4 linked regions of the Notamacropus eugenii genome follow. The protein of the gene in region 4 purifies or fractionates together with the protein of the main gene of each other region. This does not show direct contact. Links are inferred from orthologs where the notes say so. Each region holds a gene or a part of one and is shown on either strand. Other genes may lie near its edges.

Evidence for each region. Proteins that work in one complex are often made in the same cells at the same time.
Region 1: the proteins of EIF4A3 (region 4) and SAP18 fractionate together in Homo sapiens (co-fractionation; 3 studies listed by BioGRID and IntAct, with this or other methods). This does not show direct contact. The link is inferred for Notamacropus eugenii from reciprocal best matches to the Homo sapiens genes EIF4A3 and SAP18.
Region 2: the proteins of EIF4A3 (region 4) and UPF1 purify together in Homo sapiens (co-immunoprecipitation; 8 studies listed by BioGRID and IntAct, with this or other methods). This does not show direct contact. The link is inferred for Notamacropus eugenii from reciprocal best matches to the Homo sapiens genes EIF4A3 and UPF1.
Region 3: the proteins of EIF4A3 (region 4) and SRSF3 purify together in Homo sapiens (affinity purification with mass spectrometry; 3 studies listed by BioGRID and IntAct, with this or other methods). This does not show direct contact. The link is inferred for Notamacropus eugenii from reciprocal best matches to the Homo sapiens genes EIF4A3 and SRSF3.

Annotation. Positions count from the first base shown.
Region 1 is NC_092876.1:188,251,403-188,258,516, reverse strand, and holds the start of SAP18 (histone deacetylase complex subunit SAP18), read right to left. Parts: upstream 3,111-7,114; 5' UTR 2,560-3,110; coding exon 2,431-2,559; intron 2,215-2,430; coding exon 2,105-2,214; intron 1-2,104. UniProt on the Homo sapiens protein: Component of the SIN3-repressing complex. Enhances the ability of SIN3-HDAC1-mediated transcriptional repression. When tethered to the promoter, it can direct the formation of a repressive complex to core histone proteins.
Region 2 is NC_092875.1:66,552,439-66,560,213, forward strand, and holds the start of UPF1 (regulator of nonsense transcripts 1), read right to left. Parts: upstream 3,111-7,775; 5' UTR 2,940-3,110; coding exon 2,706-2,939; intron 1-2,705. UniProt on the Homo sapiens protein: RNA-dependent helicase required for nonsense-mediated decay (NMD) of aberrant mRNAs containing premature stop codons and modulates the expression level of normal mRNAs.
Region 3 is NC_092873.1:93,994,032-94,001,989, reverse strand, and holds the start of SRSF3 (serine/arginine-rich splicing factor 3), read right to left. Parts: upstream 3,111-7,958; 5' UTR 2,974-3,110; intron 1,301-2,973; 5' UTR 1,299-1,300; coding exon 1,093-1,298; intron 1-1,092. UniProt on the Homo sapiens protein: Splicing factor, which binds the consensus motif 5'-C[ACU][AU]C[ACU][AC]C-3' within pre-mRNA and promotes specific exons inclusion during alternative splicing.
Region 4 is NC_092873.1:322,650,586-322,658,110, forward strand, and holds the start of EIF4A3 (eukaryotic initiation factor 4A-III), read right to left. Parts: upstream 3,101-7,525; 5' UTR 2,937-3,100; coding exon 2,768-2,936; intron 1-2,767. UniProt on the Homo sapiens protein: ATP-dependent RNA helicase. Involved in pre-mRNA splicing as component of the spliceosome. Core component of the splicing-dependent multiprotein exon junction complex (EJC) deposited at splice junctions on mRNAs.

The DNA of each region.
Region 1 (7,114 bases), on a different chromosome or scaffold from region 4:
AATCTAAGGTCCCTTCCAGCTCTAAATCTTATGAACTTCCTCAAAATTAGTTCAAACTCAGGTTTTCTGCTCTACCAAGTCCAGCATTCTAAAATAACCTTTAAGTATTAACAATCTTCATGTGAGTTATTTTCAGATCTCTTTTCCCTGTGACAGCTAATTCAGAAGCATACCAGGAAATGGACATATATTTTTAAAGTTTCATTGATGTCTTTTGTTTTTACAGCAGCTATTTCCAGATATACTTTCTTCAAAAAAGTACCAGGTCCCTCCATAAGAAAGAAAAAAAGTAGCAAAGCTATGCTTGACAGTGAAAGAAACATTCCACACCTTGAGTTCCCTACCTCTTATCAAAAAGAAGTATATTTCAACTGTGATTCTTCAAGACAAAAATTCTAATTATTCATCAGTTTTCTTTAGTTTTTTCATTCATATTACTGTAGTTGCATATGCTGCTCTCCTACAAAGTGCAACTTTACTCTGTAAAGTCATATAAGTCGTCAAGTTTCTTTCAAGTCTTCATAGCTGTCATTTTTTACAGGAGAATGATAATCTATATAGATATATAATTTGTGGAGCCTTTCCCTAGCCAGTTGGTACCCACTTAATTTCTCATTTTTTGCTGACACAAAAGGTACTGCTATGAATATTTTCACCTACACAGGGCCCATGTTTGACCTCCTAGAGAGTAATGGTATCACTCCTTTTGCATGTTCCCAATTTTTTCCCCACTCCTTCATTATTGTGCCTGCCTTCACACAACGCTGCCAATCTGGTAAATAACCTTAGTGGGGAAAGAGGAAGAATCAGAAATAACTCAAGAGTAGGCTGCCATAAGGGCATAGGTACAAATAGGAGAGGTGAGAGCTCCCAAACTACTTCATCTAGAACACTGAGCAGCAAACTAAACTCTTATTATTATAATGTCCTTTTATTAGACATTTAACTTTTTTTTTTTTAAACACACTGTTGTTCTCTAGTTAGCGGTTAGATAGGCTCATTGCTAAAGCCACAGGGTGATGAATTTTGGGAGCAATAACAATGCTTGAAAAAAAAATCTAAATGACAAACGGGTTGTGAAGTCTGTGGTAGATGGAGGGCACTGAGAAAATTAAGTTATTAACACTTAACGACCTACAATATTAGTTCACAAAACAATCACTACCAAACCTCACAGTTAACATATAGAAGAGTGAACCCTACAGAACAGAGACTACAAAGTTAACTCCACTCAAGTAATAAAAACGTGTCCTACTCAAAACACAAAAGAAAGGACATCAGGCTTTTCTATTTAGCTTCCCAATGAAAAGAAACTATGTGTCCACGGCAGGAAGTGCTGAATTTTGGAGTCACAGAACTCTGGTGAGTCAAAATGAGAGTATTAAACTCTATGTTCCTTTGAATACTTGATATTCACCTTTTCTTTAAAGACTGATACTCTACTGCATTCATATAACATTATTTAATCAGGCACCCCTATAACAGCTGAAACCTAGTTTTCCCCTACCACCACAGAAAAACACATTTTTCAAAATAGCTGAATTCACAAATCATTTCACAGAGTTTCAATTGGCAAAGTCAGAAGGAGGTGAGGTTATATGGGTCAACACCCCACTCCCAGCCTTCAGAGGCACCAAGACTGCATGGGGATGGGGCTGTTTTCTTATCTACTAAAATAGGGTTGAGATGTGAAGACTGAGGACCTAATTATGGTTTGGGGTTCAGAAGACCTGGGTTCCACTTCGACTTCTCAAACTAACCCTGGGTAGCAGCCTCTCCAAAACTGTTGTTCCTTCACACTGGTATCAGGGATACCTCCAAGCCTCTGGTAGAGCCCCCGCTGCGCCAGGGTGCTTGTTGGTGAGGCTCAGACGTGAAAAGTTTTGCACTGCGGCCACTACCATTGGTCAGGGGGCAGCCACGCTGGTCAATCCCAGCCCACGGGAGGTTTCAGCCAGGTGGGCACCTCTCTTCTAGCCCCGATGACCCAAACTCCCCAGGCCACTCCCTCAGAAGGCGGTAAAACGGGTGAGGGGGCCGGGCGGGGCCTACGGAACGGGGGCCTCACCCCCCGCCCCGCCCCTCCCCCAGGACCACCGCTCACCAGGTGTAGATCTGCAGCTCGCTCGAAGGCACGTTTCCTCGGGAGAACTCTTCCACTCGGTGGTGCCGGCCGTTATTCGTGGTAAAGACCCGCAGAAGCAGCGGGCACGTCTGCGTGCGGGGGCGGAGAAGCGGAGACCCGCGTGAGGGAGGAGGGAGGTTCCGGCCCGGCTCCCGCAGCCCCCCACGGCCCCCCGGCCGCCCCCAAGCTCCCCAGCAGGGGCCGCCCGCCCCCGCCCCCCCCGCAGGCCGCGGCTCCCCACCCCCACCCTCCAGCGAGGCCCCGCCTCCGCCTGCGCCGGAACCCCAGCGGCCCCGGGCCCTCACCTTCTCCCGGTCAATGGGCTTCTCCGGTTCCTTTTTAATTTCCTCCTGAGTGACGCGGGACTCCACTGCCATCTTCCTCCTTCGGCCTCCTAGACGCTCACTGTGACCTCCGACCCCGGCCGCGAGCATGAATGAACGAAGTCTCTCGCGAGGAGAATCTCGACAGACTTATAGGGAGGGAAGAGGCGGAGCAAGGCGAGGCGGCTCTTCGGCGCAGGCGCACTATACGATGAGACCTTCCCTACAGCGCGTGCGCATCCAGTTCCTGGAGCCTTGAGTCAGCGTTGGGCCGGGTAGGAGGGATCGGTGCTGGGGGCGGGGTCAAAATCGAGGGCGTGTCCTGTTTACTCTTCTGACCCCGCCTTCCTCCCGCCCCTCCCTATATCTTCACCAGTCTCGGGGTTCTCATCGCCCCCTTTTCAATGACGCAGTTTTCACCCTCCGCGAGAAAAGAACAATTTCCACAGGATGCGGGAGCCTTTCCTGGAGGTGTGAATTGCTGAACTGAGTTTATAACGAAGTTTCTTCATAAATGAAAGAACACGCTGCCCGGTCAGTTCCCCACTCCTTTCCCATTCTCTTGACAGATTCCCCTCCCCCCCCTGGGGATGCGGAGGAGCCCCAGGCCCACCCTGGGCGTCTGTGACCCCCGCGTCACCGGCGCTCCACGTACGACTTCCTCTGGTGACGTAGGCGGTTCTAACGGCCGCCTTGGGAAGGCCCCGCCTGCTTCCTGAAAGTAACTGGCATATACTACACTACGTACAAATGATACAGAATGCTGTGTGGAAGGACATTGCCAAAACTGCTTTCATCTATTGATCCTCTAAAGCCTCTGGCTACCGATCCGTTAATGAATTCAACCCTAATTGAGGTCAATGTCAATCAATCAATAAGCGCTGAGTGCTACTGGGTACCAAGTCCTAGGGATACAAAGAAGCCAGACAGTCCCTGCGCTCTAATTGGGGCAGCATGTACATATGTACATACTATAACGTATATGTACAAACAAGCTATACACCGGATTAATGCAAATAAGTAACAGGGAAAAAGGCACTAGAATTATGAGGGGTTGGGAAACATGGAATTTTAGCTGGGACTTGAAGGAAGCCAGAAGACTCAGCAGGTAGAGAAACGTTCCAGGCATGGAGGACAGCCAGAGAAAATGGGCAAGCCGCTTAACCTCTGTCTGCCTCAGTTTACTCATCTGTAAAATGACACAATAATAGCACCAACCTTCCAGGGTTGTTGTGAGGATCAATTGAGATAATTACTATAAAGTGCTTCGTACCTTGCCTGCACATAGTAAGTGTTAAATAGATATTATTATTACTAAATAGAGAATTTGTGTTTGATTTTAGAGATGATAGGGAGCCACTAGAGTTTATTGAGCAAGGGAATGACATAGTTGTACCTGTACTCTAGGAAAATCACTCTTGGTGGTGAATGGAGGATAGATTGGAGTGGAGAGAGATTTAAGGCAGGCAGACCCACCAGCAGGCTATTGCAATAATCCAGGTGTGTCCTGTCAGATTGGCTAACATGACAAAACAGAATAATTATGAATGCTGGAGAATTGGAACACTAATGCATTGTTGGTGGAGTTGTGAACTGATCTACCCATTTTGGAGAGCAATTTGGAACTATGCCAAAGAGCTATAAAAATGTGCATACCTTTTGACCCTGCAATACTACTTCTAGGACTATATCCCAAAGAGATCATACAAAATGGGAAAAGGACCCACATGTATAGAAATATTTATAGCAGCTTTTTTTGTGGTGGCAAAGAACTGGAAATTGAGGGGATGCTCATCAATTGGGGAATGGCTGAACAAGCTGTGGTATATGAATGTAATGGAATACTGTTGTGCTATAAGAAATGATGAGCAGGCTGACTTCAGAAAAACCTAAAAAGATGCATATGAACTGATACTGAGTGAGGGGAGCAGAACCAGGAAAACATTGTACACAGTTACAGCCACATTGTGTGATGACTAACTTTGATAGACTTGGCTCTTTTCAGCAATGCAAGATTCTAGATAACTCCAAAAGGTTCATGATGGAAAATGCCGTCCACATCCCGAGAAAGAATTATGGAGTCTGAATGCAGATGGAAGCAGACTATTTATTCTCTCATTTTTGTTTTGTTTCTTCTTTATTGTGTCTCGTTCCATTGGTTATAATTCTTCTTTGCAACATGACTAATGTGAAAATGTGTTTAATGTGAATGCAGATGTAGAGCCTATATCAGATTGCGTGTCATCTTGGGGAGGGAGGAAGGAAGGGAAGGGGAGAAAATTTGGAACTCAAAGCTTGTGGAACTGAATGTTGTAAACTAAAAATAAATAAATTTTTAAAAAATAATAATTCAGGTATATAGTGATAAGGACCTATAACAGAGGGGTGGTAGTGTCAGGGGAGAGAAGGGGGTATATGTGAAAGATGTTGCAAAGGTGAAATTGACAGGCCTTGGCAAAAGATTGGATATGGGGAATGTAGGGGGGAAAGGAAGGGAGGGGTAGAGATAATGAGATGTCCAGGATGATTTCTAGATGGTGAGCTTGAGGGACTGGGAGGGTAGTATTGCTGTCTACAGTAATCATAAAAGTAGGAGGGGAAGAGGTTTTAGGGGGAAAGATAATGAGTTCTGTTTTGGACATGTTTAGTTTAAGATGTCTACTGGTTCTTAGTAATAGTGTGGAGACAATGTGAAGTTAGCGTACATAGTTACTATTTGTGTCTCAGTTGGTTAATGTTAAAAAAAAATTCATTTGTGGTCTATATTGTAAATGCTTTAAAAGAAGTATCACCTGACCAAAAGTTGGAATTGTTTCATGTGATATGAATTGTGTTAAAAATGAAAATAAAGAAAAAATTTTAAAACTGCCAAAAAAATAAATAAAACATTACATTGCCTCTTGTGACATGTCTCGTGACATGTCTATATTAAATTCAACTCAGTAAGTATGTCTCAGTATTATGTCACAAGGCTTTCTGCTAGGGAGCCTGAGAAAAAGATTCTGCCTTTAAGGAGCTCTTACCCTAACAAAAAAAAAAAAAAAAAAAAAGATGCCTATTGGATATCCAGTTTGAGATGTCAGAAAGGAAGTTGGTGATGTGAGACTAGAGGTCAGCAGAGAGGTTAGGACAGGATAGATAGATATGGAAGTCATCAGTATGGAGATGGTAATTAAATCTGTGGGAGCTTATGAGATCATCAAGTGAAGAATTGTAGAAGGAGAAGAAAGGAGGACCCAGGACAGAATCCTAAGAGAAACCAGATCAGAATGAGGATCCAACAAAGACAGAAAAGGAGTTATCAGAAAGGTAGGAGGAGAACCAGGGGTCAGGTAGGTAGGAGAACAAAGAGAGTGGTGTCCCAAAAACTTAAGAGAAAAGAGGGGGGGGATCAACAAATGTCAAAGGCCACAGAGAGGGTGGGGAGAATGAGGACTGAGAAAAGGCCATGTAACCAGGCAACTAAGAACTCATTGGTAAGTTTGGAGAGAGCAATGTCAGTGGAAAAACAAGATCAGAAGCTGGATAATAAAGGGTTAAGAACAGAGTAAGAGGAGAGGAAGTAGAAGAACCTATTGTAAGTGGCCTTCTTGAGGAGTTTAGATACGAAGGACAGAAGAGATATGAAATGAGAGTTAGCAGGGATGGAAAGATGAAAAGAAGGCTTTATCAGGATAAAAAAACATGGGATGGGCCTGTTTGTAGGCAGTAGGGAATGAGCCATTTGACTGGAAGAGACTAAAAATAAGTGATGACAGAGGGGGCAGTCTTTTAGAGGTGACAGGATGAAATGAGGTCCTTGAACAAGTAGAAGTCAACTTTAATAAGGAATAAGGCTACTTTGTCATATGAAATAAGAGTGAAGGAGGAGATAGTGGCAGAAGGCACCTGAGTTGAGTGATAGTAGATAGGGAAGAGGGAGAAGAGGCTAATGGCCTAAGTTTTCTTTTTTTCTGTAAAATTTGAGGCAAGGATCTCAACTGAGACAAGAAAGGAAGCCATGAAAGAACTGAAGAGGGAAGAAAAGGTGTAGAAGAACCACAGGGGAGCGTGAGATAGCAAGTTGGTGAGGCAGGTGTAATAGAATTGCCTAGCAGCAATGAGAGTCCAGTTGATGTTGTGTAACATGAATCTGTAGTAGACTCGGAATGGTTTCATAATTTTCTCCACCTTCATTCAGCAACCCATGTGTAGGAAAGAAGGTGGTAAATTGGTGGGAGTCATTGAAAGCTGAGACTTGGCAGACAATGAGTAGAATTCAACTTAATAGAAAAAAACAAACATTAATTGTCTTATCATGTGGGATGCTTCAATGCCTTGAAAAGAGCCAGGAACTTGCAGTCTGGAGACTTGGGTTTTAATCTCACCATTAAATGCTCACTACTGGTATTTATCCTGTATATAGCTTGTTTATAAGGGTTTGCTTGTTGTCTTTTCCATTACGTTGTGAGCTCCTTAAGGGCAGGGATGCCTTTTGCTTCTTTTTGTATCTTCAGAGCTTAGCAAGTATCTGGCACGTTGTAGGTTCTTGATAAATACTTATTGACTGAGGTATAGGTAAATAATGCAGACAACAGACAAAGGGATACTGGAAAGCAGGTAGAGAGGGTGCTGGAGTTGGGGAACATCGTGAGGAGAGTAGACAAAATAGGCCTGTTTCTGGGCC
Region 2 (7,775 bases), on a different chromosome or scaffold from region 4:
AAAGAGAGGTCAGTTTTACATATATACAGTAGCAGTAGCTGGAGTAGGTTTCCAGTTCTCATTCTCCTGTTCTAATCAGCCTATAACTTTCCATCTTTTAATCAGTTAAGTTTGTCTTTAAAAAAAATAATAATAAAACCATATGATTAAAAACTAGACTGGAGGTCAGGAGAAATAAGTTAGATTTTTCTCGTCAGTCACTCACCCTCTCTGGGTGTTTCTCCATCTACAAAACCAGGGAGTTGGATTGGATCACCTAAAGATCATCTTCTAGTTCTAATATTTGATGATTCTAACAGGCAAAGTCAAAGGTAATGTAAAAAAAACCAAAACCCAGCACTTCAAATGATAAAGAATTTTACCCTCTTTTTATTATTCAAAAGTGTCAAAATCATAAAAATCACCCCCCTTTTAAAATCCTGAATCATTTCTCAAAAAAAAGCTCAATGGTTTCTAGTTTAGGATCTCCTTTCTTACAGTTGATTACATCACTAGCTCCGAAATTCAGGTAAGATAAATAGCTCCCAAGTGTTTTGAAGTACCTGGTGACATCAATTACTACAAAAGACATACTGATCCTGAATGCACCTTGGGGATAGATCTTTTCAAAACTGACCCTGCTTCTCCATATCCCTATCAATCAAGGTCCTCATCTCCTCTACAAAAAAACTAAATCTTCACCTTTTCTCCTTAAATAGGGATAGAAAATTGAAGGAGAGGTACCTTTGCATTGTATAAATGCAGAAGAAATTTCTGCTAACAATAACATCAAGTTTTACTTCGGTAGTCACCTTAATGACAAGTTCTGCTCACCTAAAATGAAATGTTAGTCTTTATGAAAATAACCATTATTTCAAAGGACAAACAACTACTACCAGCTGATGACAAACCAAACAGGAGCTTTCTGAGCTATCAAGCTATCAGCAACAAAACCTATAAACTGGACAACACTGCCACCACCCAAAGTTACTTTAGACATATTGGCTGTGAAGCACAGGTAAACTACTCATGTTACCCAAGAATACACTTCCATCAAGGTAGTTTCTACAAACTATCAGCTGCCATTTATAATCTAAACTACTGTGTTTCTTAACAAAAACCATGTGAATTGTAAAGCACTATATAAGTAGACAAAATGCCACCCAGCTCCTTCCTCTCCTCTCCTCTCTACAAAGAGCATCACGGCTAATTATAAATTAGATTTTCACTGAGTACAATCTGACATATTTGCTACATATTACATGTGAAAGTACCTACATATATGTGATTGTTTTGGTTTATTTGATATACAGACATGATGTTTTACAGAGCACTGATACTAGTGTTAGAAATTTCTACTATCCTTCTCTCTGGTTCCCAAGTTCTTTAGGCAAATCCTCCTTCAGTACCTGCAAAAAGGCAGAACATGTTTGCACACCTGTTCAAACCAGATGCTCCACCCACCAACTTGCCACCTTTAAAGAAATAATGTTGTAAAGCAGTATGATGTAACAAAAAGAGCCTTGAATTGAGAAAGATCTGGATCCAAAAGGTTCCACTATGCTCAATCCCTAAAGTACAATGAGCACATCACTTCATCTCTGGGAAGCTCAGGCCCCTTGTCAACCTCAAGAGAACTCAACTTTGGTTTAAAAGAAAAAAAAAGAAAAAGAGAAAAGCTTCCAGCTCTTACTCAAAATGTTGGAAATATTTATTTTTGTAGCCCTTTAAGGCTCACAAAGAGATTTCTTCACTAACATGCTACGTATGTAGGTCAAATATTAGTTTCATTTTACAGATAAGTAAACTGAGGCTCAAAGAGATTAATTCGCTTAGGGTCACACAGCTATTAGGAGTCAGGTAACGACCAAACAAAGACAGGACTGGGCCAATCAGATAAGAACAGATGGCTGTACTCAGGAAGAAAGAGATCCATATCCAGGTAGCAGGAAGCGTATCTGTTCTAAAGTATTTCATAAAAGTGAAAGTTACGATACCTGTTGCTTTCATAAAGGGTTAAAGTTTTCAACAAGGTAAAGCCAATAGGAAGAGAAAAACGACCTGCCACTAACATGTGTATTTGAACCTTGCTAAGACCCTGTATAAGAAATCACTTGTAATTAAAAGTAGGAAGTCCCACACACATTTAAAAAGACAACAGTACTTCTACGATGTGAGGGGGAAAAAAAAATTCCGATCTGAACACCAAGCTGTGTCCCCTGCACATCCCGGGCCTGGTAAAATTCAGTTTCCTGGAAAGAGAGAGTAACAGATACCTGGCTCAAAGCAAACCATCTTTGCCAGGTTCACATTTTCAAAGTGGAGCAAGAACAGGTGGGGAGCTGGGGGGCAGGAAGCCCCTTGCACCCCGACCCAGTCGGATTTTTCAGAAACCAAGGGAGCCCCCCTGGCCTCCGAGAGGAAGGAAATCTGTCAGCTGCACTTCCCCCGAAAAGGCTGCGGAGTCCTGGGATTGGTGCCCCCCCACCCCAAATGACGCCCCTTCTCTAAGGGCAGCCCCTCCCCCACAGCGAAAGTGTAGGAGGGGGAGGATCCGAACTCCCCAAAGGGCCAGATCTCCCCCGCAGGGGGTGGCGGCAGGCTCGGGCTCCACTTCCTACCTACCCCCGGGGCGAGTCACTTCCTCCTCGCCACCCGGCCCCCGAGGCGGGGAGGGGGCAGCCCCCCGAGCTCCGCCGGAGGGGCAGGGCCCCAGCCCTCCTCACCTGCGCGTCGAGCTGGCCCGCGGCTCCCCCGACGCCCGCGGCTCCCGGCCCTCCCGCGCCACCGCCTCCGCCGCCGCCGCCAGGCCCTCCGGGGGGCGTCTGGGTCTGGCTGGGGAGGGTGAAGTCGGTGAACTCGAACTCGGAGCCCTGGGTGTCGGCGCCCAGCAGCTCGGCCTCCTCAGTGTCCAGGAAGGTGAGGGTCTGCGAGCTGGGCCCGTACGCCTCCACGCTCATGGCGCCGCCGCCGCCCGGGGCCTGGCCTGCTGCCGCCGCCGCTCCGCCTCGCCTCGCCTCGCCGGCTCCGGCCTGGTCTCGCACTCGAGGGCCCGGCTCCGCCCGCGGCCTCGCGCCTACCTCGGAACCCGCGCGCCCAAGGCCTGGCCGCGCCCGCCGCCCGAACCGAACCGACCCGCCGCGAGAGCGCGCGCGCCGCGACCCCGACCAGGGCCTCGCCTCAAAGCCTCCCTCCCGAGCCTCCTCCTCTTCCTATATAATCTACACGCTAAACCAGGAACCGCCGCCGCCGCGCGCGTGCCCGACACTGCCCCCACCAACCCCCCGCTTAGGTCGGGACTCCGCTCGCTCCCTTCAGTCCCCGCCTCCCTCGGAGAGGACGCCGAGAGCGTGCTGACGAGGCACGCAGAGCGCACGAGGCGCGGAGGGCGGGAGAAGGAGGGAGGCGGAGCCAACGCGTGGGTGGGGCCCGCCCTCTGATCTCCCCACCCCCGCGGAGGGGGCGGGGGGAACCCGAGGGGCGGACGTTGGGCGTCCAACGGCCGCCCAGCACGTGACTCCTGTCGCTCTCCCTCTCCCTCCTCCCCTCCCTCAGTCCCAATCGGGGCCAGCGGGTCGTTGAACGTCTACGGCCTGCTGGGCTCGTGCGCCCCCTCTTGGGCGGCGGGATACCAGGGGGAGCTGCAGGGCTCGTCCCCCCGCGAAAGGGGATTCCCGCCCATCCGCCCCGGCGCGCCCTCGACACCGCCCTCCCGGCCCCGCCCTCCCGGAGCTCGCGACTCCAGCTCGGCCCCACGCCTAGGCGGTGGGGGCGGAGCCGGGCGGCCCTCCGCTTCCGTTTCTTTGTGATCCCCATTGTACAGATGAGGAAACTGAGACTCAGCCTAAAGTAGAGGGCCTGACCCTGCAGCCCGAGGCTGACCCTTGCCACCGCTTGCCTCGTGGGGGGATTGCCGGCAGAGCTGTTAAGACGTCTGCAGACCTTTGGGCGCGTGGGGCGGGGACGGGGCGGGGTCTGCCCGGCCCGCAAGCCCCCGGGCTCGGCTCTGCTCCGCGTGTCACACCCGGTGGTTGTGAAGCCCGAGGCTTTGTGACTCCCCGGCGCTATCCTGGCAGTGTCATCCGCAATCATGGGGCTCCTGGTGTGTGCGGGGCCTGCCCACACTTGAAGTCGGGATCGGACCCAGACCCTCAGAATCTCTGTGCTGGAAAAGAACCTCAGAGATGTGGCCAGTTTTTCCTTTCTTTCGTCTACCACGTACCGGTCAAATGGTCATCCAAACTTTGCCTGCAGGCTTCGGGGCAGGAAGGGGCCGGCCACCCCAGGACACAGCGGCCCTTGTCCCTTTGGGGCAGCCTTCTTCTGAGGAACTTTGGAAATGGACTTCAAGGCAGCCCCCCTCCTCTGCCCAGGAGCTCCTCGGATACTGGCACCCTCCAGGCTGAACACCGCTCGGATCCGTCCGTAGGAATTCTCCAGCCACCGTCGCTACCCTGCCAGCCCTCCTTCGGGTCTTTCCAGGTTGGCCATGCCTTTCCTGAAACGTGCCCCCACGCGTGGCAGATGGCGTGGGATCACAACCCAGGACAGTGAGATACTGGCCTCCTGGCCAGGGAGCTCCAAGTCTGGTGGACACCCACAAACTACAAGAGACTATATGACAGCCTTCTCCTAGGGAAGTGCATGGCCTCTCAAGAGTGATGTCCTGTACCTGAAAGGTCTTCAAGCCACCCCTGCCATAGGGGACATGACTTGGACTAGAGGGCTGCTTTCAACACCAAGGTTCCCTGCTTGTGGGTGATGGATGCATCAGAGATTATGCACATTAAGATTTGCCCAGGTTCTACTCTCCTCCTGCTATCTCCTCTCTCTTTTCCACAGAATCACAGGTTCTCAGAGCTGGAACAGACCTTTATAGCATTATGTTCAACCATACTTGAACAAGATTCCCCTCTGCACCATGGCCAACAAGCAACCTTTCAGCCTCTGCTAACCCATTCAACTTTGGAATGGCCCTAATGGTCAGGAAACTTTTTCTTACATCTAGCTGAAATCTGCCTCACAGCAACTTCCTCATTCATTCATTCATTCAACAAAGATTTGGGGGAGGTACCGACCAGTGCAAAACCCTGAAGTGGATGTTGGTGAGATAAATACTATAAAAATGACAGGAGACCCTGCCTCAAGGAGAATATTCTACTGGGTGGGGGGCAAAGGTAAGGATGTAACATGGACCCAAGAGAGGCAAAACAAAACCAAAAGAGATCCATCCAAAGTACTCTCAGAAAATCTGAGTGGGAAGGATTGAATGAGGAGAGGATTAAGGAAAGGTTACTTAAAAATGGTAGCACCTAAGGTCACCATTGAAGGAAGAGAAGAATTTAGAAAGACATAATAATAATAATTATAGGTAGCATTTATAGTACTTTAAAGTTTACAGAGCTTCACAAATATGAACTTATTTTATCCTTATTTATTTTATTATCTTGCACCTCTGGGAAGTAATTGCTATTATTATCTCCATTTTTACAGATGTGGAAACTGAGGCAAACAGGTTAAATGACTTGCCAAAGTTCCACAGCTGGTCAGTATCTGAGGCCAAATTTGACCTCAGAATTTCCTGATTCCATTTCAGTGCTCTCTCCGCTGCACTTCATACACAGAAGATAGCCAGGGAGAGATACTAGATTCTGCCATAATCTAGTTTAGCTATAACTGGAGAAGGAAATGGCAAACCGTTCCAGTATCTTTGCCAAGAAAACCCCATGGACAGTATGGTGCACAGTGTCACTAAGAATTGGAAGTGACTGACAGAACAACACTTTAGCTATTGCATTGAATTCATGAAGGGGAATGATGGGCCATAAGACTGGAAAAGTTAGCTGGAGCCAGATTATGAGGAGTTTAATATTTTCTTCTAGAGGCAATAGGGAGTCATGGCAGGATTTTGAGAAAGGGGAGTGACTAGAGGATTATTTTGGCAGCTGTGTAAAGTGTGGGATAGAGGCAAGCTAGACTAGAAGCAAGGAAATAAAATAAGAGACTTGGTTAGGACTTGCGTTAGAATGGTGTTGGCCATTTGATTAGATAGAAAGGAGCAGATTTGAGAGACGTAGTCAGTCCAATAAGCAAGCATTTATTTGCTTATTTATGGCAATCAGGGTTAAGTGACTTACCCAGGGTCACATAGTTAGCAAGTGTCTGAGGCCACATCCTATCTACTGCACCATCTGGCTGCCCCTAAACAAGTATTAAATGCATAATCTGTGTTAAGCATTAAGGAGGGAAAAAAAATGGAATTAATCACAATCCACCTCAATTAACTGCAATCCACCACCCTCAACGGTTCTGATTTGACTTGAGGTGACAATAAGAAAACTACCATGAATGTGCAGGATATATACTGGACAATGTGGATGGAAGGTGATCTCAGAGAGAAGGCACTAGCGGCTGGAGGGACAGGGAAAGAGGCCTCTTGGCAAAGGTAGGATTGGAACTGAGTTTTGAAGAAGACCAGGCAAACTGAGAGGCAGAGAGAGGCCAGGAGGGATGAGCAGCAAAGCAACTGTCTGGATGTTGGGTGGGGTCAGGAACAAAGAAGAACGCCCAAGAGGATGCGGAAGCTGCCAGTCTGGAGGATGGAGCTTGGGAACATCCTATGCCCCCAAAGGGGAGTTGAGCAGGCTTGGAGAAATAATAATATAATAGCTGACATGAAGCACTTCAATGTTTGCAAAGTATTGGGATGATAACTGATGTTTGTGTGGTTCTATAGGATTTACAGAGGGCACTCACTACAGATATCATGATAATAATAACAGATTTAAAGCTTTTTGCAATTTCCAAAGCACTTTCCATGTACCTTTTCCCATTTGCACCTCCCACCAGTCCTGTGGGGTAGACGGGGTTATTATCCCCATTTGAGAGATGAGGAAATGGAAGGTGAAAGAAAAAAGTGATTAGTTCATACTCACAAAGCTGGAAAATGTCAGAGGCAAGATTCAAACAGAAGTCCTCCATTCACCACTGGTATCAAACACAAAGAGAATTGGGGCCAGTAAACCCTATAGAAGGTTGACTTAGAAAACCACATATTAACATTATGTATGGTGCCACAGTGGATAGAGTGCTGGGCCTGCAGTCAGGAAGACTCATCTTCCTGAATTCAAATCTGGCCTCAGAAATTTACTAACTGTGTGACCCTGGGCAAATCACTTAACCCTGCTTGCCTCAGTTTCCTCATCTGCAAAATAAGGTAGAGAAGGAAATGGCAAAGCCATTGTAGTATCTCTACCAAGAAAACCCCAAATGGGGTCCGACATGACTGGAACAACATACCAACCACAAAATGGAATATTGTATTTTATCGTATTTTTATTTATTTTGTTAACTATTTCCCGAATACATTTGAACTGGAGTTCAACTGCATCAGGGCCTCATGATCGATACCTCTGGAGGACACTGTAGCATGGGAAGATGATTTCAGGTTTAAACAAGTTAATTTTGAGGTGTGGATGTAGTCATAATAATAATGGCTAATATTTAAAGTGCTTTAAGATTTACAAAACACTTTCCATGTATTATCTCATTTCAACCTCACAACAACCCTATGAAGTAGTAGTAGTAGTAGTAGTAGTAGTAGTAGTAGTTAGCCCCATTTTGTAGATGAGCAAACTGAGACAGAGTCTGAAGTAGTATTCAAATTCTGATTTTCCTGAGATGTTCACTGGACATTTGGCAATGACTTGAGCTCTAGAGATGTGAAAGCCGGATATGTAAATTTGGGAGTTGTCTGAATAAAGATAAGAGCAGATAAGAACAGAGAGAGAGGGAAG
Region 3 (7,958 bases), about 230 Mb from region 4:
AACAACTTTCAAGTAAAATGCTAAGTGTAAAGAATAGGTCCAAGATGCTGAGAAACTTGGAGGGAAATCTACAAGATAAATCTTTTTAACAGGTCAAAGACCATGTCTCAACTTTGTATTCCAATGCAGCAGACAATATTTGTGTTAAGAATTCTTCTCTAAGCACTTGGGATCTCTAACACTGACCTTGGTTTACCCTATTTCATTTCAAAATTGTATTTTTAATTTTTAGTATTTTAAAATTGACACCCTTAAAAGCACTTTATATGAGCTCACATGATCTCTATTCTACCACACAACTTTATACCCTGATTATCTGGTTGCCTTCTGTTTTACAGTACAGTTTACAAGTATATATTAATGTGCCATTATTGAAGCTCATTGATTAATAATCTCCTGACCTAGGCAGAAGCAATAAGATGGTAACACAAATGAGTGGGTTAGCATATATGTGTTTTAGGGCCCCAAAATAGGAACATCTGAACACTAGATGGCATAAGACAGATAAATTAAGCATAAAAAACACTAACCAATTTTAGCTTGATTCATTTTCTGCAGTGGTTTTTGTGATACCAAAGCACAATTCTGACAGCAACAAGGGAACTAGGTGGCCATCAACTCTAACCTCATCCTAGTATTCATTTTTAGAAGTAGCTCAATAATCACTCTTAAAAAAAAAAAAAAATTAAGTCACCAAGAAAGGAGTGAAACCCCTTGAGTAAAAACAGTCTATGTAGCTGCCTAACAAAAATGCTAACTTTATTGTGGATTATGAAGTTTGCACTAAATCTGGTAACTCATTTATTCTGCTCACTGATATGGTAGTGATCTAGTTGTACAATTTCACTGGTTATCATAAAAGTCTCCCAAGTGATACTAATTATGTGATGGCAGGCAAATTAGCTATACTCTATCTGCCTTAGTTTTCAATACTGTAAAACGAAGTCACTCCTTTAAAATGCTGTCTATGTAATTGTGCTATAGTTTTATGATATACAATTCATTGTAATTTCCTCTAGTGAATTCAATGTGTAAACGCATAATTTGTATATTAAGGAGAAGTAACTACAGAGATGTTACATAGGGCATTACCTTCCATCTAGTTCTCTAACAGCATCAGCTGCATCTCTGGGATCTTCAAATTCAACGAAAGCAAAGCCGGGAGGATTTCTTGCAACCCACACACTTCGGAGTGGTCCATAATATCCAAAAGCTCGCTCCAATTCAGTCTTGTTGCCATTGTTACCAAGGTTACCTACATAAACCTTACAATCCAGTGGACAAGAGTCACGATGCATCTCTGTAACGAGACAATAGCAAAAAACGTTTAGTATTTGCAAAACTTTAATAAAATTCTTAATCAACATGACTTAAGATGCTAACTTAAGATAATTATAACTAAGCGCACTCCTTTAGAATATCAAAGACAAGGAAAGTCCAATGAAATCTAATTTAAGTCTGTTAACTACTCACCAACCCACCTCCCTCTGAGAAACTATCTTGTTTTTCCGTAGCAGCATAAATGGGGAAAAGAGCTCCAGAAGCAAAGTCTTTGGCAAAAGGCCAGTGTCATTTCATTCCAACATCCCCACCCATAAGCCGGTCCTTGAAAACCATAACTTTGTGATCATTAGCATAATCAAAACCAAAGACTCATTTACTCATTTAATAATTCTTTTGTAAATATGTTTTCTGAAAGAAGACTTTCCGTTTTATGCTAGGGTCCTCTTTCAGAGATCCTCTCCAAATTATCCTGTATGTCTTGTTTCTACCGTTCTTTGCCTGCGGTCTCTCCCATTTCATTTAAGAGCGAGGGGCCCCAGACCAGGAATTATTTTTCTTTACAATTCCAACCGTAAATACTGCCGTGTATATTAAATGTTTAAAGGCTGTTGATTTAATTTGTAAATCAACTATCGCAGATCATCCTTCAAAATTGCCAATGGATGCCGATTTGAATACTCTTCCTAGGGGGTCGCTACTGCTTTGTGTATCCTTGGCGAGGAGGTGCATGGAGCCAAAGGAAGATAAGTAACCAACAACCCTACGTAACAAAGTCAAGTATGCCGCATTCTTGGTTGGCCCGCTCACCCCAACATCAACCCAACTTTTAACTTCGTTGGACACAGATAGGAAGATCCGAACCCCAAGGCCGCAGACTTCAAGACGGGGCTCCCAACTGCACCCCCTAACGCCAGTCCGAACCCATGCTCGCTGTAAAGCACGCCACACCCAACCTACGGATTTTTCAGGACGCAAGTCAGAACAGGCTGCTAGGAATGCGGGGAGGGAAACTCCACCGGGCCGGAACCTCGCACAAGTCTCAAACAAAACAAAACAAAAAAGGAGGTCCCAGGCCTGTACCGGGGCCGCATCGCGCGGGACCCACGGGCCGCCTGCGGTCCCGCCACGCGCGCGGGAGGCCCCCAAGGGCCCACACGTAATTGGGAGCCGCCGGGGGAGGCGGCGGCCCCCTCCCTCCCTCCCTAGCTCCCAGCAGGCCGAGCGTCCTCCGCGGCCCCCGCACTCGGGAGGACCGAGGCCCTCCATCCACACGCACCCCCGCCCGCAGAAACGCGGGAAGGAAGCTCGGCTCCGCGGAGGCCAAGCCCACGGCAACCACCGAGGATCAATTTGCCGTGAGGCGAGAAGAGGCGCCATGAGCCGGGAGGCCGCGCCCGGGCGGCCTCGGTTCCTCTTCCGGATGCATCGTCCTCCCCACCCCCACTCCCCGGCCATCCCCTCGCCTCAGCCCGCGGGGCTTCCCCTCCCAGCGCTCCCCGGGTGCCCAGCCCCTGGTCGGGGATTCGGAGGTCCCTCCCCGCACTACCAATGGCGGCTCGACCGCCAGCCGCCGAACGTCACAAAATGGCGGCGGCGCCTCTTTGTCTGTGCTCGGCCCCGCTCGGGCCTCACGACTACGACGGCGACGAAAAAGAACCCAATCGCCCGCTCCGCTGCCCGTTTCCTTACCGGGTGCTGTGGCTTAACAGGCGGGGATCCGACTCCCACCGCTCGACTGGGTTTTTCCCGCTCCTCCCGGCTCCGTCCCCGCGCAGCTGTGGCGCTACTCCCCCGACGTCCACAAAATGGCGGAACGCAACCTTCGCCTCCCGACTTATATGCGGCCGCCCCAGGCCACGTGACAGAGGGCTCTGGCCAATCAGAGGACGAGGAACGCGATGACCGACATCTCGGAAGGGCCCGCCCTTCGTCTCAAGTTGTGAACCTCGGCTCGGACAGCGGTTGGTTGCCGGGAGCAGGCCTGAGGCTGGACGCTGCGCCCGTCCCGCCAAGCAAGGCCCGCTTCCCAGCAGCCGAGCGTGCGCGCACTGCGCGCGTTGTGTCGGCTGTCGGTCGGCCCCCTCCCCCATCCCGCTGGGCCTCCTTATCGTTTATCGGCCCGGTGCCGTGTGCCGGTGTATAAAAAATAATGGAAACCCGTCCCCAGAGCACGGTGCAAAATGGCGCAGACTTGTGTAACGTCCGTGTGCCGGAGGTTCTCGGCGCGCTTCTACCCTCCCGCGGGCGCTTAGACTGAAGCGGGAGGCCCCAAGGCCTTCCGTCAGCCTTTAGGAGGCGCGTCCGAAGCGCCGAGCGCCGGGAATCCTGAGAGAGGACGCCGAGCGGTAGAAAAAGCAGGCCCTGCCCTCCGGGGGCGCGTGCGCACGGGGAGAGACAAGACGCGAGCAGCGTGGTACCCCCAACACTTAACGTGTTTGTATGTAGTGTCTATATGCTAATTATAGTTGTATCGTCGCTGCCTTAGTGTTTACATATCGCGTGTTCCTCCTTGCGTTTGGATCCAAATCTGCCCTCCGAGGAACGACGTGACGTCACTGGATGACGTCACTGGAGGACGTGGCTTTGTTTTGAGTGAGGTCACCAGCCTGACTTCTCCCACATGCACATGTGTAAACACATGCAGTATGTGTGTGCGTGCCAACAAGCACATGTGTGTACATGTAATGCATGTGATCGCACCTGCCACATACAGAGACGTGTATGTTTACATACAGTAATGTGTGTGTATAGGTGCACACCTATCGTTCATGTATATGAATATGTGGATGTGGAATGTGGAGGTACCCCTGAGATTAATGTGTCTTTTCTATGAGTTCCCTTCCCAGGCACATGCCCTGGGAACACAATAATCCTGTTTGCTGCTCGGAGTCAGTCTTGCTTACTACCCCCAGACCTTTGCTGGTGTTCACCTGGTTGACCTTGCTGAGCTGAGCCCCACCCAACTGGCCTAAACCAGTCTTGCTGTCATCTGTTCCTGCAAAACTTCCTGCTTCTATGTCCACTTATTCTGGGAAAGATTGTCCATCCTTTTCCCAGCCCTTCCCCTGAACCTCCCCTATATGGTTTTCTCCTGGGCTGTGGGCTCCTTTGTCTGATTTTCTTCCTAATAAAACTTCTACTTTCAATCCAGCTTGGACTACTCTATATTTTGAGGGCTGGGCTTCACCTGATTGACATTTCTGGGGCATAGAAAACAGACATATTAATCTCAGGGACTCTTCTACAGTATGCATGCATGCATGTATGTATGTATTCTCATCTGTGCCTCCAAGAAGCTATAGCATGTGAATGGGCCATACCTCAGTAAAACCGTCTCTGCAGATAGGCTAAATCGGGTTGTGGGTAATTGACAGGCTGAAAACCCATTGATGAGTTAGGAGACTATCTATTCCAAGGATGTGAAGACTTCCCCCAGCCGAATGGGCAGGTGATAACAATTTGTTCCAAGAGCCATGAAGGGGGCTGACGCAGGTGCTGTGGAGTGCTTAGAACTTGGTTAGACATTGAAGATGCCAAGATCATCCAATGCATCCCAGGTCATCTCCAGTTGTCCTGACTTTTGCCCTGACACTGGGCTTTGATGATTCTGGAAAAGAGAACGAGGCTGATGACTCTGCCTCACTTAAATCTAATTCATAAGGAAGTCAAGATATCATCCTGTGGTATCATTGGTCCTCTTTGAAAATGAAGGACAAATAGCGACAACAATAGGATAAATAAGGGGTAATCTCAGAGGGAAGGCACTAAGCTTACAGAAGCCTAGGAAAGGCTTCATGAAGAAGATAGGTCTTCAGCTGGGGCCTACAAAAAGCCAGAGAAGTCAGGAGATGGTGATGAGAAGGAAGGCCCTCCAAGCATGAAGGACAGCCAGTGAAAAAGCTCAGTGGAGAGGGAGCTAGCTTGTCACGTTCAAGAAACAGCAAGAAAACCAGTGTCCCTTGATCACAGAGTCCATGATAGTGAGCAAGGTATAAAAATCTTGGAAAGATATGCTGACACTCTGAAGAATGGAGAGGTCATGAAGGCCTTCATATGACGAAAAAGGATTTTAGTTTCGATAGTGGAGATGATAGGGAGCCACTGGAGTTTATGGAACAGAGGGACAATATGGTTAGATGTACACTTTAGGAAGCTCAATTTGATACCTTAGTAGAGGATAGATAGGAGTGGGGGGAGGCATGAGGTAGGGAAACCCAACAGCAGGCTAATTGGCATATAGTCTCATGCAGGGATGGGGAATCTGCAACCTCAAGGTCATATGTGACTCTCTGTGTCCTCAAGTGCAGCCCTTTAATTGACTCCAAACTGAATCCAAACCCCTTAATAAAAGGATTTGTTCTGTAAAACTTGAACTCAGTTGAAAGGCCACACCTGAGGATCAAGAAGGCCACACGTGGCCTTGAGGCTGCAGGTTCCCCACCTGTGGTCTAGGGCAATAGTCTAGGCAGGAGTCTAGGATAAGTGTCTGCACAAGAGTGGTAGCAGTGTCAGAAGAAGGAAGGGGACATATTTGAGAAATGTTATGAAAGTAGAAACAATACAGCTTGACAACTGATTGGATATAGGGAGTGACAGAGAAATTGAGGATGATCTTGAGTTGGAGTGATTGGGGAGGATGGTGGTACCCTCCACAGTAATTGGGAATTTAGAAAGAGTGGAAGGTTTGGAGGGGGTGAGGAAGATAATAAACTCAGTTTTAGACATGTTGAGTTTAAGGGATGCTCAGTCTGAGATGTCTAAAAGACAGTGGGAGATGTTAGATGTTAGGTCCAGAGAGGTTAGGATTAGACAAGTAAATCTGTGAGTCATTTGTATAGAGCAGACAGTTGAAACCATGGGAGCTGATGAATTCACCAAGCGAAACAATATGGAGAGAGAAGAGAAGAGGATCTAGGACAGAACTTTGGGGGTCTTCCATGGTTGGCAGATATGATGGGGATGAAGGCTGAACAGGCTGTGTTCGTCCTTCGTTTTCTAAGGCGACCATAACAGAGAAATGATGACATGACTTATATTTGACTTTGTTTTGAGTGAGGGAAGGCTGTGCAAGGTCACCAGCCTCACTTTCTCCTCCTGAGCCATCTGGGTTCAGCAACCAGATCTGAAGATTGAACAGAGGATATAGAAAGGGAGTAGTCAGACAGGTAGGAAGAGAAATTGTAAAGAGCGGTGTCCCAAAAGTCAAGAGAGAAGAGAATATTAAAAAGAGGGTTATTTATAGTTCAAAGGTTGCAGAGAGGTCAAAAAGTATGAGAACTGAGAAAAGTCTGTTAGATTTACCAATAAAGAAATCATAAATGACTTTGAAGAGATCAGATATTGTTGAATAATGAAGTCATAAGCCAGACTCAGTTAGAATAGATCTTGGAACTCATCTATTACAATTTTCTGATTTCACAGATAGGGAAACTGAGGCCTATGACAAGGTAAAACCAGACATTTATTAGGATGAATAATACTTGACAAGATAGGTATCTTTCTCCCTCATTTCTTTGTTTTATGGACTTGTCTCTAAAATGATTTTAAGGCAGGGCAATAATAATCTTTGTTGTATATACTTGGATGTTAAAATGTTGAATAACAATTATGTGTTTCCTAATCAACACTTGCTAATTAAGTGAATAAAATCAGACAATATAAAAACAACAGCCTAAACGTAGCCTCAGGGCTGCAAGAAGCAGGAAGCATAGAAGTGTCATTGTGTTGCTCAAAGCAAGGCAGAGTAGACACCCTTTTGCCTCTTCTCTCCCAAACCCTCTCCAAGAGAAACTATTTCCTGCAAAGAGGAAAAGTAGGAGGTTAGAGCCAGAAGCTTGAACACTCTGCTTTCTTTAGGAGGAAGGGACACTGGGCTAGACGTCTGTCTATTAGCTCTCTTAAATATTGTTAGTGTAAAGGATGTAATTTTCATGTTCAAGCTAAACCTCTAATTCCCGTTTATTAATGAAGAAAAGAAGAAGTCCCTTCCCACCAGGTGCCAGTTCCAAAGTGAACAGACATAGCACTTAGCAAAAAAAATTCATTTATCCAAATCAATAACAAAACAGAAATCAGAGAATGTATACATAATAGAACATATACCACACAATACACAGTGAAGGCCCTTTCCCATGGGGAGAAACACAACTCAGCTCAACTGAGAGAGTCCCAGAGGAAATTTCCCAGTCTCTAGTGTAGCAAACTGGGAATAGAGACATGAAGGAGACTGCTAGCTCCTCTCTTGTATTATTTTCCCATCAGTAACCTGAAGTGGATTGGCATTGCTCATCTTCTCTCTTAAACCTGGAGCCCAGAAACCCCCAAAGCAAATACACAAACCAAAGAGAGGAAGGGGATTTAAGAGCTGGAAGAGACTGCTGTGAATGAAGAGATAGAAACTCTTCTCTTTCCTGTTCTCACCAACTCCATCCTGCCCCTCACACAAGCACTGGAAGTTGATGTCCACCAATAAAGAGAGAATCTCATACCAACTGACTTTGGGTCTCTGGCTCCATAAGGATAGCTCATCTCTGGAAGATAGAACAAATTTGACAATGTCTCTTGATGTACTCGTGGATAAAATGGAGAAGTGTAAGCAACATAATAGCATAGTTAAATGACTGATACCAAGGTATAGTGATTAAAGAGTTGATGTCAACTTTACTAGAAGTCTC
Region 4 (7,525 bases):
CCCGCTCAACAGATGTCTGTTATTTTGTATCATAATTATCTATCCACGAGTCACGTCTGCCCAACTAGACTAAACCTCATGAAGAGACTTTGTGTCTTCCAAACTCCTCTCTGTAAATCTAGCACAGTGCTCTACATGAAGCTGGTGTGTAATAAATGTTTGTTGAAAAGAACTGGTGCAATGGAAAGAGCAGGCTAAAGATCATCAGAAGCCCTGAATTCTATTCTTAGGTTTACCACTACTTTGTTATGTGACCTTTACCTAACAGGTCCACAACTGGATAATCTCAGGAAGACAACACTAAAAACGAAAGGATGGAGGTCATCAGGAAATGAGGTGTTCCCTGAACTGAGCTATGAATGAAGCTAAGGATTTTAAGAGGCAAAGATAAAGAGGGAGTAGATATCCATGTATGGGGAAGGAGTATGTGTGAACTCATAGAGCTGGGAAATGGAGCATTATTTTAGGAAATCTTTATCAGTCTGGTTGGAAATGTAGACTTTTATAAAGAAGAGTAATGTAAAATGTGTCAGGCTAAGAAGTTTTTATTTCATTCTAGAGGCAAGCGGGGGTAGGGGTGGAAGCAGTGGCATACACAGTCAATTTTAGCAGCTGTGTGGAAGCTGGTTGGAAAACAGATAGATTAAAATCAAGAAAACCAATTAGGAGGCTTTATAACAATCCAAATGAGAGGGCAATAAGGGCCTGAGTTAGTGTAGTGGTTTCAAAGGGCAGGAAGGAATAAATGTGAGATACTGGGGATAAAATATATTTGTCATTTAAATGAAATTACTTAAAAACAAGAAAAAATTTATATATCTGTGTTCATAATTGAAGATTTGTTGGTAAGATGAAGTCTGAAGTTAAAGACTCTCAGTTTACAGTATTGCTAAATATACTATCTATTTCAGATAGAAGAAACTGATAATACTGAAACACTTGGAAAAAGAGTTGCTACCCTTTATGGATGCTGAAATAACAAATGACTCTTCAGCGATTACCCCAAGTCCACAGTTAAACCAGCTTTTGCACAGTTGGTAGTCCAAATAAGAGTTTATGTAGGTGGGTCAAAAAAAAAAATGCCATATCAAAGCAGATGCTATAGGTCAGAAGTTCAAATCAAAGGCTGGGAGAACTGAAGGGCCCACCATGATACTTTCCAAACATGGGGAACAAAATCTATGGAAAAGCAGCAGAGACAGAAGATGGAATGCCTTGTGTGAGAATCAGCATGAGGCAGTCTGGCTGAATGTGTGTGTGTTTAAGTATAATAAGATTAGAAGGTGGTCAGTCTGTCCTTCGCTAGTGAAGAGCTAGCTTGTGAAGAAGATTTAAATAACAACTAGGAGTTTATATTATTATTGAATAAAAAATTCAAAATATTTTTCCTTATGAATTTTCAGGGTCTTCTGAATCACTGAGCATCTAGCCTAAACTCAATAACTTTTTCACATTAATGTACTGAGAATTTTTTCCACTTCAAATCTGTCCTCATACACTTACTGGCTGTGTGGCACAGGGCATTTAACTCCTGTTTACCTCAGTTTCCTCAACTTTAAAAAAGAGATAATAGTAGATTGTTCTGAGGATAAAATGAGATAGTATTTTTAAAGTGCCTAGCATAACACCTGGCACATAGAAGGTGTTTAATAAATGCTACACCCTCACCCCCTTTGTTAGGCTAAGTAAAAACATTTAATATATTTCAATTAAATATTTATTAATTACAAATCACTATCTGCTACTTTACTAATAATGATCTTGTAGCAGGAGCACTAAATTTGGAATTTCAAGACCAGGATATGACTATGAACCCCAACATTAGAGTCAAGAGACTGAGCAAAAATAGATTCTAAGTCTCAGTATATCTTTCTGTAAAATAGGAATAATAATATTTGTACTTCCAACCTTATGGGGATGCTATGAGGAAAAACCTTTGTAAAGTGAACTTTATGTAAAATATAATTACGTTGAAAATTTTATGCAAATTTTCCATCACCCTAACCTCACTATACTTTAAAGATAGGTTACCGAACTGTAAAATAGAAACGATTTATAATGCTGGAATTCTAACTAACGTAGACTTGTGTTTTCCTCTTAAGCCAATTATAGTTCTCTGGAGTACCTAACTTTCAGTGTTCAAACATTCCCAAGAAACCTTTTGTGAAAGCTCATTTTCTCATTTGTAAAATGAGGTAAGTTGGACTAGAGATCGATCATCTCCCAAAGAAAATAAAGATACAAAGCAGAAAGATTCTAGAATAGAGGGATTTTAATTGGTGGAAAAATGCATTAGTCCAGCAAGCATATAGCAGTCAAGAGCCACTAACTGGCTGTGGAACTTCCCTCTAGGAGCCTCAGTTTTCCCCAGCTGAGAGATGGGAGGTTGAACTAGACTGAAGTTAGTAGATGGTTTCTCCAACTCTGCTACTCTGCTTATGAGGGTCCGGGAAGCGTGCTCCTCCTCCCCCACCCCTCCCTCCGCGGGCTCCGTAGCATGCTCGGGGCAGCGAGCTCGAGGACTCCGCGAGGGAAGCGGGCAGGCAGGCCTCCCAATGAGGTCACCGCGGGGCGGAGCTTGGAGCTGCTCGGGCTGCCCGTTGCCCGAAGGCCTACAACGACACCCGACCTAACCAGAGCGCACCTCGTAGCACTGGCCCTGAACACAATCTGCCCTTCTCTCCCCCGCCCGGGCGTCCTTCCCTCCCAGCAGCGTGCGTGCCCGCCTCGGCCAGCCGGCCCCCGGCAGCGCCCGCGCCCTGCTCACCGTAGGCGTAGATGCCTCGCAGCAGATCCTCCCGCAAACCCATCGTGTCGAAGGTGGGGGTCACATCCACCTCTTCGCTGGTCTCGAATTCCACTTTTGTCATGTCTTCCTCCTTCAGCAGCCGCTTCCGAGCAGAACCTGAAGTAGCCATCGTGGCTGTGGCAGCCATACTGCCTGGGAAGCCGGAAAGGGGTTGAGGGGAGGCAGGGAACTGCGCGCGCGCGCGCACGCCGAGGCCCCAGAAAGAAGCACACAGAAGCAGCTGATAGGCTGCGCCGTCATCTATCCATCTCCGTAGTTAAGGTCAGGGGTGGGCGGGTGTGCGTCCGAACGTGCGCAAGCACGCACGCATAGGCGCGTACGCACAAGAACGTGCGCCCAGGCGGATCCGACGGTTCCTTGTTCTCTCCAGGTCACGTGACCGGGGAAGGCGCCGCGCTTTCCGTTGGAGGGGGCGGGGAGCGGAGGGGGAGTTACCCGTAGGCCTAGGGTCTTAGTGGCGTCAGCCTCCTAAGCTTCTAGTGGGCCTCCACCCTGAGGATCAGAGAGAGAATATGGGGGTTAGGAAAGAAACTATTTCAGTGCAGGACTGGGCTGGGGAAGAAGCCGCGGCATTCAGGCCTGGTTCGTAATCATTATTTGGGGGCTTTCAATAGCCAAGCCCCGCGGGGAGATTCATGGCTTGGCTTGGCTTTGTGGGGCACGCAGAGAATTCTCCTGCCTCCCTCCCGTGACCGTGGCACCTGGCAGCGAGCGCCCCTCGGGACGCTTCCCGTCCACGCATTTGAGAGTTGTAGGCACAGCTGAGAGACATTTGTGTAGAAAGACACTCCCTGGAAGGCGGAACAGGACCCCTGCTGCAGAGAAGGCAGATGGTAAGGGATCGAGAGCCCAGCCGGATCTTCCCCGCAGAAACACGGCACTGAGGGCTAGATCTTGGGTTCCCCGAGGAGAGAGAGGACTTCCAGGCTCTGGAGTTCCCACTGCTTGGGCCGCATGCTCGTGAAGACCTGATTATCCCGTGTATGCCCACTCCTCTGGAGGACGTTGTGGGAGGGCATACTTTAATTTTATGGGGGGGGGGGGGGGGTTGTAACTTGCCTTTGCTGTATCATCTTAGTAAATATCTTTGCTAAGAACTAATTTTGTCCTCTGGTTGATTGCCAACCGCTGGTGGGGGCTTGCAAAGTTATTAGGAGTGAGTAGCTCCTGGATACCCTTCTAAAACTTCTTGGCAGCAGCTCCTTTCTGAGGACCCAACCCATGAGTGCCAGTACAAGTTCAAGTTGAGGGAGCAGCCCAGAATGCATGTTACAAAAGGGATTATCCATTTAGTAATTCCTCCTCAAAGTGAAGAAGTATAGCACTAGTTGTTACATAATTTTAAAGAGCAAAACCAACTTCTTACACACATAAGAAAGGAATATAGAACTTCAGAGACCAGACGTGAAAACTATTACAGAAGTTTAAAAGTTTTATGGACCTTGCTATGCTACCCCGTAGTCACATAGGCATTATGTGTTTCAGAGAGGACTAAGTCTTCCTCCCTCTCCACCATGCCACATTGCTTCTCCTAAGTAACATGTATAAAATAAACCTTTTATTTCAGGTAAAGGACTGTGATAAGCGTGTTTGTGTGTATTTATGTGCCTCAGAAAACATCACCTATTCCATTTTACCATTTTTACCTATTTCAAAGCCCTGTGTTGACAGGTAAGTGACCAAGCAGCAGGTAGTCACAGTGCTGCACACAGGTGGCCAGGCCACAGGGACCTCTTCTCACTGGAAGCCAGGAGTGGGATTTGGTAGCCACCTGGGTGTCTGAGCAGCTGTTTTTGGACTACCCTTTAACTCCTGGTGTGAGGAAGGGATTAGAAAAGGTGACCTAAAAATTGTCTACCTTACCCAACCCTGGCCTGCTTACTGTGGCAGACGAGGATTCTACTCTGTGGTCAAAAAGACCTGAAAGAAAACAGCTCTTGTTTCAAGAAAATTTAGCAACTGTCACATATGCACAAATTTAGAGACATCGCCACTCCAAATGTTCATATGGACTGTACCTGACCTGAGGTAAAATGTTCCAAGCTGTTGTATTGTGCAGAGTTGGACACAGTACCTTTATTCCAACATAGTGATGTCATTTTGATCCTCTTTGAGAATAAAGGACAACAACCATTTATGCATTTAAACATATAGAGGATTTTGAAAGCAGGAGCTAGGTGATCATTTGTCTAGGTAACATCTGAGGTCTCTTCCAGCCTTAAGATTTTATGTTACTTCTGGCCCAAGTGTTATTGCATCTGGCAAACAAATGATTATCACATGCAAGGAGCTGCATTCCCAACTTAGTGCTAGAAAATCTGTTTATTATGACTATATATCCAACACAAATGGAAGAAATCATAAAATCCGGTTGACTAGGTCTACTATAAGTTTGTGTTATCTTGTCTCAACTGAACCCTCACTCCTGTATGCCAATCTTTTTATTCTTCCCGATGAACTATCACAGTCTTGAAAGTCTGTCCCAAAGTGTATTTTCGCTCTTCAAGCTGCCCGTACCAATACCTTCCCTGTTCTCTCTTAGCAGAAGGCCTTATCTAATACTTATATTCCATACTTCAAATCACCTTGACATCATCCTTCTTTCAATCTTCCTTTGCTCCATTCCCAGGTGATAATTTGCCTTTTTGTGGCAAGTGGAAGATGAAATGACTAAGGAAACCAAAAAAGGCTTGCACTTCTGAGCATTTTGGTTTATTCAGCAATGCTGCTACTTGCCTGACAAATTGGGACCAGTCTCCTTCCTCAACTTTGGTAGTGGACCTCAAACGCAGGTGGAGACACATTAGTATACATTAAAAACAATCAAGTAAGACCAATTGAGTAAGAGGAAATAACCAGAATATAACACTGGATAAACTGACTTCTAAGTAGAAGAAAGATCAGGGACTTTACTGGTTAGAAGAGGAAACAGGTGCAGTTCCTTGAAATCAAAAGGATATTCCACTTCCCCCACATATCTGTGAAAAATCAGAGGAACATGATAACAGTAAATGAGTGATCAGTATGGGGCCAGTTTTCAGAAAAGACATTGCTTGAGATGTATAATTGTGAGAAAACTACTTGTATCAATTTTGGGGTCTGATTGGGTTTCTGGTCTTAATTAAGGATCTCTAAACAGGCCTCCCAAGTATGCAGAGCTGGGTTCAAACAGTGCAATGGAGTTTTCCCCCAATTCTTACAACTGAATAAAGTTTTCCCACAAGACAGAAAGTGAAATATACCACTAACTGAGTAGGGAACTCAGCTAGCTCCAGAATTGATTCACAAGATGGACCTGATATGGTTCACCCAGTTCCCACAATTCAGTTCCCTCAATTTTCCCCTTTTCTTTCATGGGAGAGTGGCAGCTCATTCCCTCCATGGATCACTTATCTATAAGCCAAATCCATAAGATTTTTCATATATTCATAAATTACATCAGTCAGGTTATATAGATCATGCTAATTAGAGGGCTTACAGTGGACTAATTTATATTTCACCAGGGTAACCATGAAAACTTAAACATAAACACCATGAAATAAAAGGCTAAACCAACACAATAATGATCATCAATATTATCTAAAATGAAGTCTCCTTGTATCCTAGTAACCCACTCCCAATTCCCATTTTCATCAACACATTTTGAGTACCAGATGTCTCTTGTTGTCTGTTCTCTGGATATCTTCTCCCTTGAACATGCTGGAATAGGCCTCATTCTCAGGGCAGCTCCAAAGGAGACTCAATTTCTTTGGTTCCAAATCACTTTTAAAGGTTCCTAGATAATTCTGATAAAATCAAGTAGTAACAAGATTTAATGCAAGTACAATCTCTTAAATTTGGTTTTCCAATCCTGAAACTAAAGAGAAACTCGGTTTTTATGTACCACTTGTCATTTTTATCCTTATATAAACCTTGTACTTCATATAAGAAACTTTAAAGATTCATGAGGGTCTAACTTTTTTTTGCACTTAATAGTATTTTATTTTTTGCAATTACATGTAAAGATAGTCTTCAACTTTCATTTTTGTAAATTTCGAGTTCCAATTTTTTCTCTCTCCCTCTCTTTCCCCTCCCCAAGACAGCAAGCAATCTGATATAGGTTATACATGTACAATCAGGTTAAACATATTTCCACATTAGTCATGTTGTGAAAATAGAATCAGAACAAAAGAGAAAAACCATAGGAAAAACCAAAAACATACCAAAAAAAAAAACCAACCCTGAAAATGGTATGTGTCAGACTACACAGTTCTTTCTCTGGATGTAGATAGTATTTTCCATCATGAATCTTTTGGAATTGTCTTAGATTATTGTATTGCTGAGAAGAGCTAAGCCTATCATAGTTGATCATCGAACAATGTTGCTGTTGCTGTGGACAATGTTCTCCTGGTTCTACTCACTTCACTCAGCGTTAGTTTCTGGTATAGGACACTGTGTTTTTGCGCTGGCTTTCTCCCATGCCTGGAATACCCTCTGTCTTCACCTCTACCTTTTAGCTTTCTTGGTTTCCTTCAAGATTCAGCTTAAATACCATCTAATGGTTCCTCCAACCTTCCCCTCTGACATTAATTTATAACCTTTGTATATATATCATGTATTCAACTAGTAATTTACACATTGTATCACATATGCACCCAGTAATTTATACATTGTTTCCCTCATTATAATGCAAGCTCTCTGAGGGTGAGGACTATTTTTTACCTATCTTTGTGTCCC